Schizosaccharomyces pombe: one gene and its partner. The protein of the gene in region 1 interacts with the protein of each later gene in a pairwise test. Each region holds a gene or a part of one and is shown on either strand. Other genes may lie near its edges.

Region 1 (4,133 bases):
AATACATTATCAACCAATTTCCTTAACTTACTTGAAGTTTGATTATATATACTATGTGTGATCCACTCTCAGCCTTCATAGCTCCAGTAATTACAATTCCGTTTGGATCGAGGGCTGAATCAACAACACTATCTACGTCCTTTTGAAAAAACATGTTTCTACTTTGAAAACTCTCATTCGGTTGGCTAATCGCATTCTCTTTGACAGATGAAGAGCCCTGGTGCTGTGATGGCTCAACTTTTGGCTCTACATTGACAGCAGAAGAGGCGCTTCTGTTGTCAGAGCCAGAGAATGGATTATTATCTTCAAAAAAATCCATTCAATTGTTTCTCACAACGTCCAATTTCAATTGCAATGCTGAATAATGGCGTTTGGAGTTGACAAGTACAGACAGTCATACTGTGTTGATTAATGCATTGCGCTATGCTTATTTTTCGCAAAACAAAAAATTTGTCCCAATTCAATTTCGTAATTTAAACAATTGATTCTTCACTTTATTATTTTATCAATATATCTTATTGAGTTTATAAACGCTTTTAGCGCGAATCTCACATTAATTGAAATAGTACGTCTAGTAGTTAACCTTTAAGAATTCACTGTAATTATTTATCTTTCTTATATTCTATAAAAATTATTTAAAAGTATAGAAAATGTGTACATTTTCGTTAGAAACAAATTTTCCAATTCCCACAACCTTTACACAATCGATCTGCTTTCTAAAACCTTTTGAAACTGAAGTAATGTTCGAGTAAACAAAACATTTCCATCTTCCGATTGCTCTTGAAAGTTTAGTAAAGTATTGATGGCATTTATCGCATCCTTTGTTGATAACAAATACTGTGACTCTTCCTCTTCTTCATCGGTTTCAAACTCTCGTTCATCAAGAAATTGAGCAGCAACTTGGTTAACGATATCGTCATTAGTGTCAGCAGAATTTTCTTCAATAGGGTTAATAAAATTTTCGATTTGGAAAATATCCTTATCACCAAGGTATTTTCCTATCAATTCTTGCAAATTCACCGCGATTCTAATGGTTTCTGGAGAAGGACCGGTCAGTGGTTGCTGATTTTGAAAAAGCCCAGAACGAAGGAAACAATTGTATATTATAGATGGTTCAAAGTCAACGTTCCAAGAACGAATCATCCATCTAACTGCTTTTAGTACATTCATTGTCTTACTGGGGTTCTTTCCCAATCGAATCTCCTCAAGCATGTAATTAAGCCAGTATTTTCTGTAGTATGATTTAAAAGCGTAGACTATCTCTTGGCCACAAGGATGGTAAATTTCTGTAGAATTTACAGGAAGGAAAACAACAGTCGTGTTTACCAACTTTCGCTCGGAATTGCGAATATTTTCCAAAGCGCATTCATGAGCGACAAACTTATCCAGTATAAGTAGAACTTTCCTACCCTTCATCAAATCGTCAAACCAACGAAGCCATTCTTCCATAATGGAAGTGGTCATCCTAGCGGTTCCATTATATCGCCAATGAAAATCCATGGAATCAGGATGAGCATTTGCTTGCCGAAAGGCCCTTGGACTTTTAGCATATCCAATCACCCAAAGAGGGGCCTTTTCAGAACCTGTAGCATTACAACAAATAGTGACGGTGACACGAGCCTTATCTCTCGTAATTCCTTTTACTCGTTCACTCGCAGGAGATTGATTGGGAATAAGTTTCCAGCATAGCCCCGTCTCATCCATATTAAAGATGTCTTTTGGATCAAAAAGACTTATTAATTCCTGTATTTGAACCATGTTTTCCTCATACGTTCCTTGATTTACTGAAGTAGATTCACCCTGTAACTTAAGGCCGTGTTTTAAACAACGCTTTTTGAACTTCTCTAACCAACCGTTACTAAATTCTGGAATCGGAAGCTCAGAGTACTCCGGTATACGTCTCCACAATTCTGCGGCGCTTTTTTTGATGGCGTTTCCAGTAATTGCTCCGTCTTGTTTTTGCAACCTCGTTTGCCAGTCAATAAGGGCGTTTTCTAAGATAGGATATTTTCCTTGGCGGTTTCTTCTTATTTGAGAGTTTTCTGCGTCTAGATTATCTAAAAATTCGTTCTTTGATGATAGAATTGACGAAACGGTAGATTGTGCTAGCTTTTTATGAAAGTGCTCCTCGAACCAACTAATAAGCTCTTGTTGCGAAGGTTTAGTTGCTGACTCAAAATAATGTTTTCTAATTGCTTTTTTTTCAGCTAAAGTCAACGCTTGACGCCTCAATGGAGGCATTCTCTCAAGTTTACGAAAAAATCGTTGTAAGGGAGGTAATCGCGGCTGTCGTGGATGATATGGATGATATCCCGATATGTTTGTGATATTTGATATATTAACGTGTTTGTTATTATAATATTATTATAATATTTTCGTTATGGATATGTTAACTATCTTTATTGCGACAAGTTGTATGTATAATTGTAATATTCGTTTGCTCTTAAATCGCAATTGTTGGATATCTCAACCACAGTGGAAATTAAATAAAGTAAAAGATAAGAAGTAAAATAGGTTTAACTTAAAAAGAATTTGAATGCCATAATTAAGCGATTTAAATAAGCTGAGCATATATGAGAGTATTCTAAATTATATATTTATGGCAATCTTGATTAAAAGGCTTTAAAACAAATCAGCACCGAAACCTACAAGACGATCGGAAAATGAAGTTTCCACTAAACTAGGTCGATCTGGGGCACCATGTATGGGAGCATCTTTGAGCTTTTCAGTTACATCGCTTAGTGAAACATTTAAGTATATCTCCATAAACTGTCCAATTTCAATGTTCTCCATATTTCCTCGAAGATGTTCAGTGACCTCTCCTACTCCATAAACGTTTACATCGACAGCAGTATGGCCGTGAGTGGTCCAGCCAATTTGTGCTTCTACACTAACAATATCACTAAGCACGTTTATAAGATTAAATATATTATGCCGGGCCACGTATATGTCATGAATCTGCTTTGGATTAGGGTCAGGAATGCCAATTGCGGGTAAAACAAACTGTTCAATATAAGGAAGCAACGTATTTTGGTTATGGTTCACGATAGCTGAAGCGAGATATTCAATAGAATGGAGAGCAAGAGATAGGACTTGCGGCTTCCATAAATACTCTGGATATTTTTTGGAGACCTGGCGACCAACAGTCAAACCACCAGTTTCATGATCCGATGTAGAGATTAAAGATCCTCCATTCTTTTCTACAAATGCACTTGCTATTTCAAAGGCCCTGTTGTATTCCATAACTTCGTAAACATGAGCGATAGGGTCATTGTTGTGAGAGGCCATGTCAATTCTACTCCCTTCTATGAGCAAAAAAAATCCTTTAGATGTATCTTCATTAGTGGCGTTGAGCAAAACATCCAAAGCCGTCTCTACCATTTCAGAAAGCTTAGGTTGCACTTCAGGCTGATAATCAATATCATAACTGAGATGATAATCAGAAAACAAACCAAGCAAAGGCAATTGAGCGTTTGATAGCTCATCAAAGTCAGTTCTATTAAGCAAAATTTGGAAACCTTCTTTTTTCCTAGCATATTTCAAAAGATCCAAGTTATCGGATCTACATGATCGATAAGTAGATTTAGGTAAGAATGAACAAAGTCCACCACCGAACAATAAGTCAACACTCCTTCCCAAAGGTCCCATCCCGACTTGGTACTCAGCAATTAAATCTTGCATGAATCGATTCGCGGCATGAGCAGAGAAAGAGGCAGGTGTAGCGTCGGTAACTCTGCTTGTGACAACAATTCCGGTTAAGTAACCGGCTTCTTTAGCAGCCTCTAAGATAGTTCCACAAGGTTTTTCATTATCCAAAACACCAACAGCTCCGTTGTAGGTTTTATTAGCACAAGAAAATGCGGTTGCTCCGGCTGCACTATCCGTAATCAAACTCGAACTGGAACGTGTCCGTGAACTGCCAATTAAATGCTCATCCAAGGGAAGCCTATAACCCTCTTTATCGTTTAGAGTCTCTACAAACGATCTAGTCATAGACAAAGAGCCAGGTCCCATTCCTTTAAAAAAAGTCAGTCACCGAGAAATATTGTAAAAAAAAGGAAGATTCCGTCCCAGTGCTCTAAATATAAAAAAAATCATTTTCCTTCAAAAGAGCAACGGATTTATGAGAGAGC
Region 2 (3,974 bases), 440 kb from region 1:
TGCTATCCGAGTGAGATTTACAGAGCTTCATTACCTGGACTTAATGCGTCTAGTGAAAAGGAAGCAAGAGATTATCTCAACAAATTTGCAGGAAATAAAACTGATGAGTTATATCAAATGCTATGTAATGACCCTAACGTTTTTGATATAGAAAGTCTGGTCAATAGTTTAATTTCGTATCCTAAAATGAACATTGAAGTTTCTCAATCGTCTTCAGATAAGCTACTCCTTTATCTACGACGCCTCAATCAGCCGCTCAACCCCGATTTTTACATTTTTGCGCCGTTGTTCCCTAAACCTCAAAGTGAGGGATTTTTCGTTCTCATCATAGATTCAGAAACTCAAGAACTGTTCGCGATACGTCGGGCCTCATTTGCTGGGCGAAGAAACGATGATTCAATTCGTTTATCCCTTCGGATTTCAATGGATATTCCACCAACTTGCCGCAACAGAAATGTAAAAGTCATGGTTGTTTGTGATGGATACCCATTAATTTACGAACATAAAATTGTATTGATGATTTAATGAAGCTTTTGTAGAAAAATAGAAGGCTTTAAGCCAATTTCCTTATTATATTTAAGTCTGTTTAATAAAAATTAATTAACAAATCTATAGACCTCAATAATCCTATTAATTGGTGAACATAAAACCCACAATTTAAGTAAAAATATTCCCAACATTGAAAAACAGCGGCTAATCCGAAGTCTTTTTATTCAATTTTTTTTACAAAAGAAACAAATGCCAAGTGAACCCAAGAAAACCAAAACCATTCAATTAATATTCCATTTCCACAGGAATTTCTTCACCACGACTAGCACTGTTAAGCAGCTCACGTCTAATTTCTGGACCAATAGAATAATGTCCTTTCAGGCGAACAACTTCTAAGAGTGCATCCTTTTGTTCGGGTGTAATATCAAATTTGTACCGTTGAGCAAAGACCAACATCGATTGATGTTCTAATACAGCAAGTGGACGTTCCAATGATTTCCATCGCATAAAATAAAAAACCAAAGAATCAAGCACCTTATACGGTAGAGCATATTTTTTGTCGAGTAATATCCTAATAAATACGGAAGTAGCACCACTCAAGTCAAACTCAGTTAAACGTAATAACGCGGCTGCAGAATGCAGAACCGGCACAGAAACTTTTTGAAGGATACTACCGATGATTGCGGCTTCGCGCAAAGTGCAATTCTCCTATAAGAGGTTAATAATTAAGTAAAGAAATCGATGAACATACTTGAACTAGAGGAAACAAGAAACCCTTAAACCAAGAAGACGGTTTGTATAATGCCTTTTTCAAAGCCATATATAAATGGTAATTTAATTTTTTATTTTCACGAATGTCATCACGAACTCTTTCCAAAATAATGACTGTGAGGAAGTGTTGAGCTTGTACAGGTTTTAAGTTGGAAATAAAAATACGAGTAGCTTCATAACAAGCATGAGGTGTCCACATGTCAGGTCGAGTGAGATAAAGTATGTCTTCCCAATTAGACAACGTAGGGATAATTTTGAAAGCTTTAGGAATTTTTCCTGAGCGGTATTTACTAAGTAAAACCCCAACCTTTGAATAGACCTCTATTACCTTGGGAGGCAAGGGAGGTAAGGCATTTTCCTCCTCTTCTGCAGAAGGGATATATTCACCACGAGCGCGAGCTTCAGCCTCGTTGATTTTTTGCATGATCAAATCGGATAGTGAGGTGGTTTTTTCCTCTGTTAGATCTCCTTCCTCGCCTGACACGGTTGGGAGGAATCGATCGAATAAATCTCGGTCAGCATCATCTATCTCAAGCTCCTCATACTCTTCTTCTTCTTGAGAAGTAATGCTTTCACTATCGGATACATTTCTAGCATGCTCTGATTCTTCATAGCTTGATTCAATTGCCGGATTTTCTAAAGTGTCTTTTTGATGTCCATTACTAATAAAAGCACTGATCTGTGAAGGTTTTCCATTTTCTTCTTCATCCAACTCCTCTTTTTGTTCCCTTGCTAATTGTAAAATTTTTTTAGAAGTCTTGGCATCCAAGAAGCCGTTTCCGGTGTTGCTTTCTTTCGACTTTTTCTGTTTGCTAGGTTTCTGTCTCAAGACACCACTTTCTGAAGATTCTGCAATGTCCTTATAAAGAGGAGCATGATGCAGTTTAGTTTTTGGAGCCTTGGGCATTATCAATAATATATTTTCTTTTTAATTCCGCCGCTCCAAACACTTTGGTTTTTTGTAGGTACAAATTGCAATTATAAAACTTACCTAATTAGCGTACTTTAAATCCCACGTAAAACCGTGCATTTCGTTTTACCTAGCGCCTCACAAAATAGCACGCTATTTAGCCTTTCACCTTTTGTAACTACTGAACTCCATGGGAAGTATCTTCCATATGCAGTTTTTTATGCTATACTATGTTATGTTAGCTATTACTGTTCAATATAGCTCTTTAAATATTAAAGAATAGGACTGTGGGATGATATAATGGTCTTCATTAAAGTTGATAATACTAATTGAATAAATGAAAATAAATTACATCTTAACCAACATTCCGCATTTCAGTTGTGAGCTATTGAATGATTGCCATATTATCAAAGTTTGACAGTATGTTTAACACATCAGCAAATCTCTAAGTTTTCAAAGATCATGGGAACTCAAGCTACTTTTTGTTCGCTATTTTTCCTAGTAATCGCATAGTTGACAGCTTTTATTATATATATAAATATATATTAAATTAAAGCGTATAATCTGATATTAAGAACTCAATTTTTTAGATTTACGCAGACTGAATCTTGGAAAATAAAGGACATATTTCTTCAGCTTGAGAGTAATGGCTTCATGCTGTATCTTTTGTGCTCAGTTTGTATTAAATCGAAATCTGTTAGAAGCTAATAAGTATAAACTTTCCGAAATTACTTTTAAGGTCTACATTAGTATCAGAAGGCTACTAATTGTAGTGATCACACTTTACAGACGAATAGTTGAGTGTTGTGCTTCACTATGCTCCCTCATTTTCAGTAAATATTATCTGCATTATAAAACTTTTAGGATTCTTACAATAATTCAAAGTTGGTCTGATAAAGTCTCAGTTCTTCCAAATCGCCTTTATTGTTTACCTTTTTGCAACGCGTTTATTGAGTTCGTAAAAAAACTTACCGAAACGTAAAGAAATTTCAACGCCATAATTAATGCGAAATTACTAAGTCCATTATTAACCCATATTGAGTAAATTAAATTCCTACCTCCCTGTGAGTGTATTTTTTTCTGTACATAAGCAAGTGATCTGAGGAGGTTTGTATCTAATCTGAACTACACGTTTGTAGGTGAATACTAGTGACTGAGTCGTGTTCGATGAATATTCGCAAATGAACCTATGTACTTGTGAAATCCTTTAGAGTTAATTAATTCTTCTTAAGTGGAACCTTAATTATTCGAGGATTATTAGATAAACAAATTTCAACCCAAGAATTAATTTACATACCCCTTCTCGTGAATTTTGTCTGTATATAGCAGATGTGATTTTGTCCTTTTTATTTTTTTTAAACTGTACTACATAAAGCTTTGCAGTTATTTAAAGTTTTTTTTTAGAATTTGTTCATATTGCTAAGCTTGTGAAGAAGCTTTTGGACGCGTTTTTTATAAGCACAGTCTTGAGACAAGACACTTTTCGAAGATGCTGGCTCATGGATCCAATGATTATGGAGTTTCCTTAAAGGGGAATAAAACCGGTTCCTCTCCTAGTAAAGCATCTTCTCTAAATTGGAATGAACCTCATACCTTGAACGAACAGAACACCTATTGCTATTGTGGAAAAGATAGAAATTTAAGATTCCCTGATCTTCAGTGTAGCGTTTGTTTAAATATGTTTCATCTCTCGTGTTTAAGTCCTCCTTGTACGTCGATGATGGGATTTAGTACAAATTATCAATTTGTCTGTAAGCATTGCACTGAAGACGGATTTGAACGATTTGAACGAGGTGTATCCGCA

What was found.
Region 2: the proteins of cbh2 (region 1) and enp1 interact in a two-hybrid assay, tested with the Schizosaccharomyces pombe proteins (one large-scale study listed by BioGRID).

Annotation. Positions count from the first base shown.
Region 1 is NC_003423.3:4,180,170-4,184,302, forward strand, and holds cbh2 (CENP-B protein 2), read right to left. Parts: upstream 2,270-4,133; 5' UTR 2,242-2,269; coding exon 697-2,241; 3' UTR 568-696; downstream 1-567. Other genes in the region: sorting nexin Snx41, read right to left, coding at 32-319; pho8 (alkaline phosphatase), read right to left, coding at 2,623-4,016. UniProt on the Schizosaccharomyces pombe protein: Binds to the central core and core-associated repeat regions of centromeric heterochromatin.
Region 2 is NC_003423.3:3,740,619-3,744,592, reverse strand, and holds enp1 (bystin family U3 and U14 snoRNA associated protein), read right to left. Parts: upstream 2,224-3,974; 5' UTR 2,168-2,223; coding exon 1,241-2,167; intron 1,198-1,240; coding exon 775-1,197; 3' UTR 526-774; downstream 1-525. Other genes in the region: rqt2 (ATP-dependent RNA helicase), read left to right, coding at 1-525; SPOM_SPBC13G1.15C (uncharacterized protein), read left to right, coding at 2,817-3,152; ash2 (Set1C complex and Lid2 complex subunit Ash2-trithorax family), read left to right, coding at 3,660-3,974.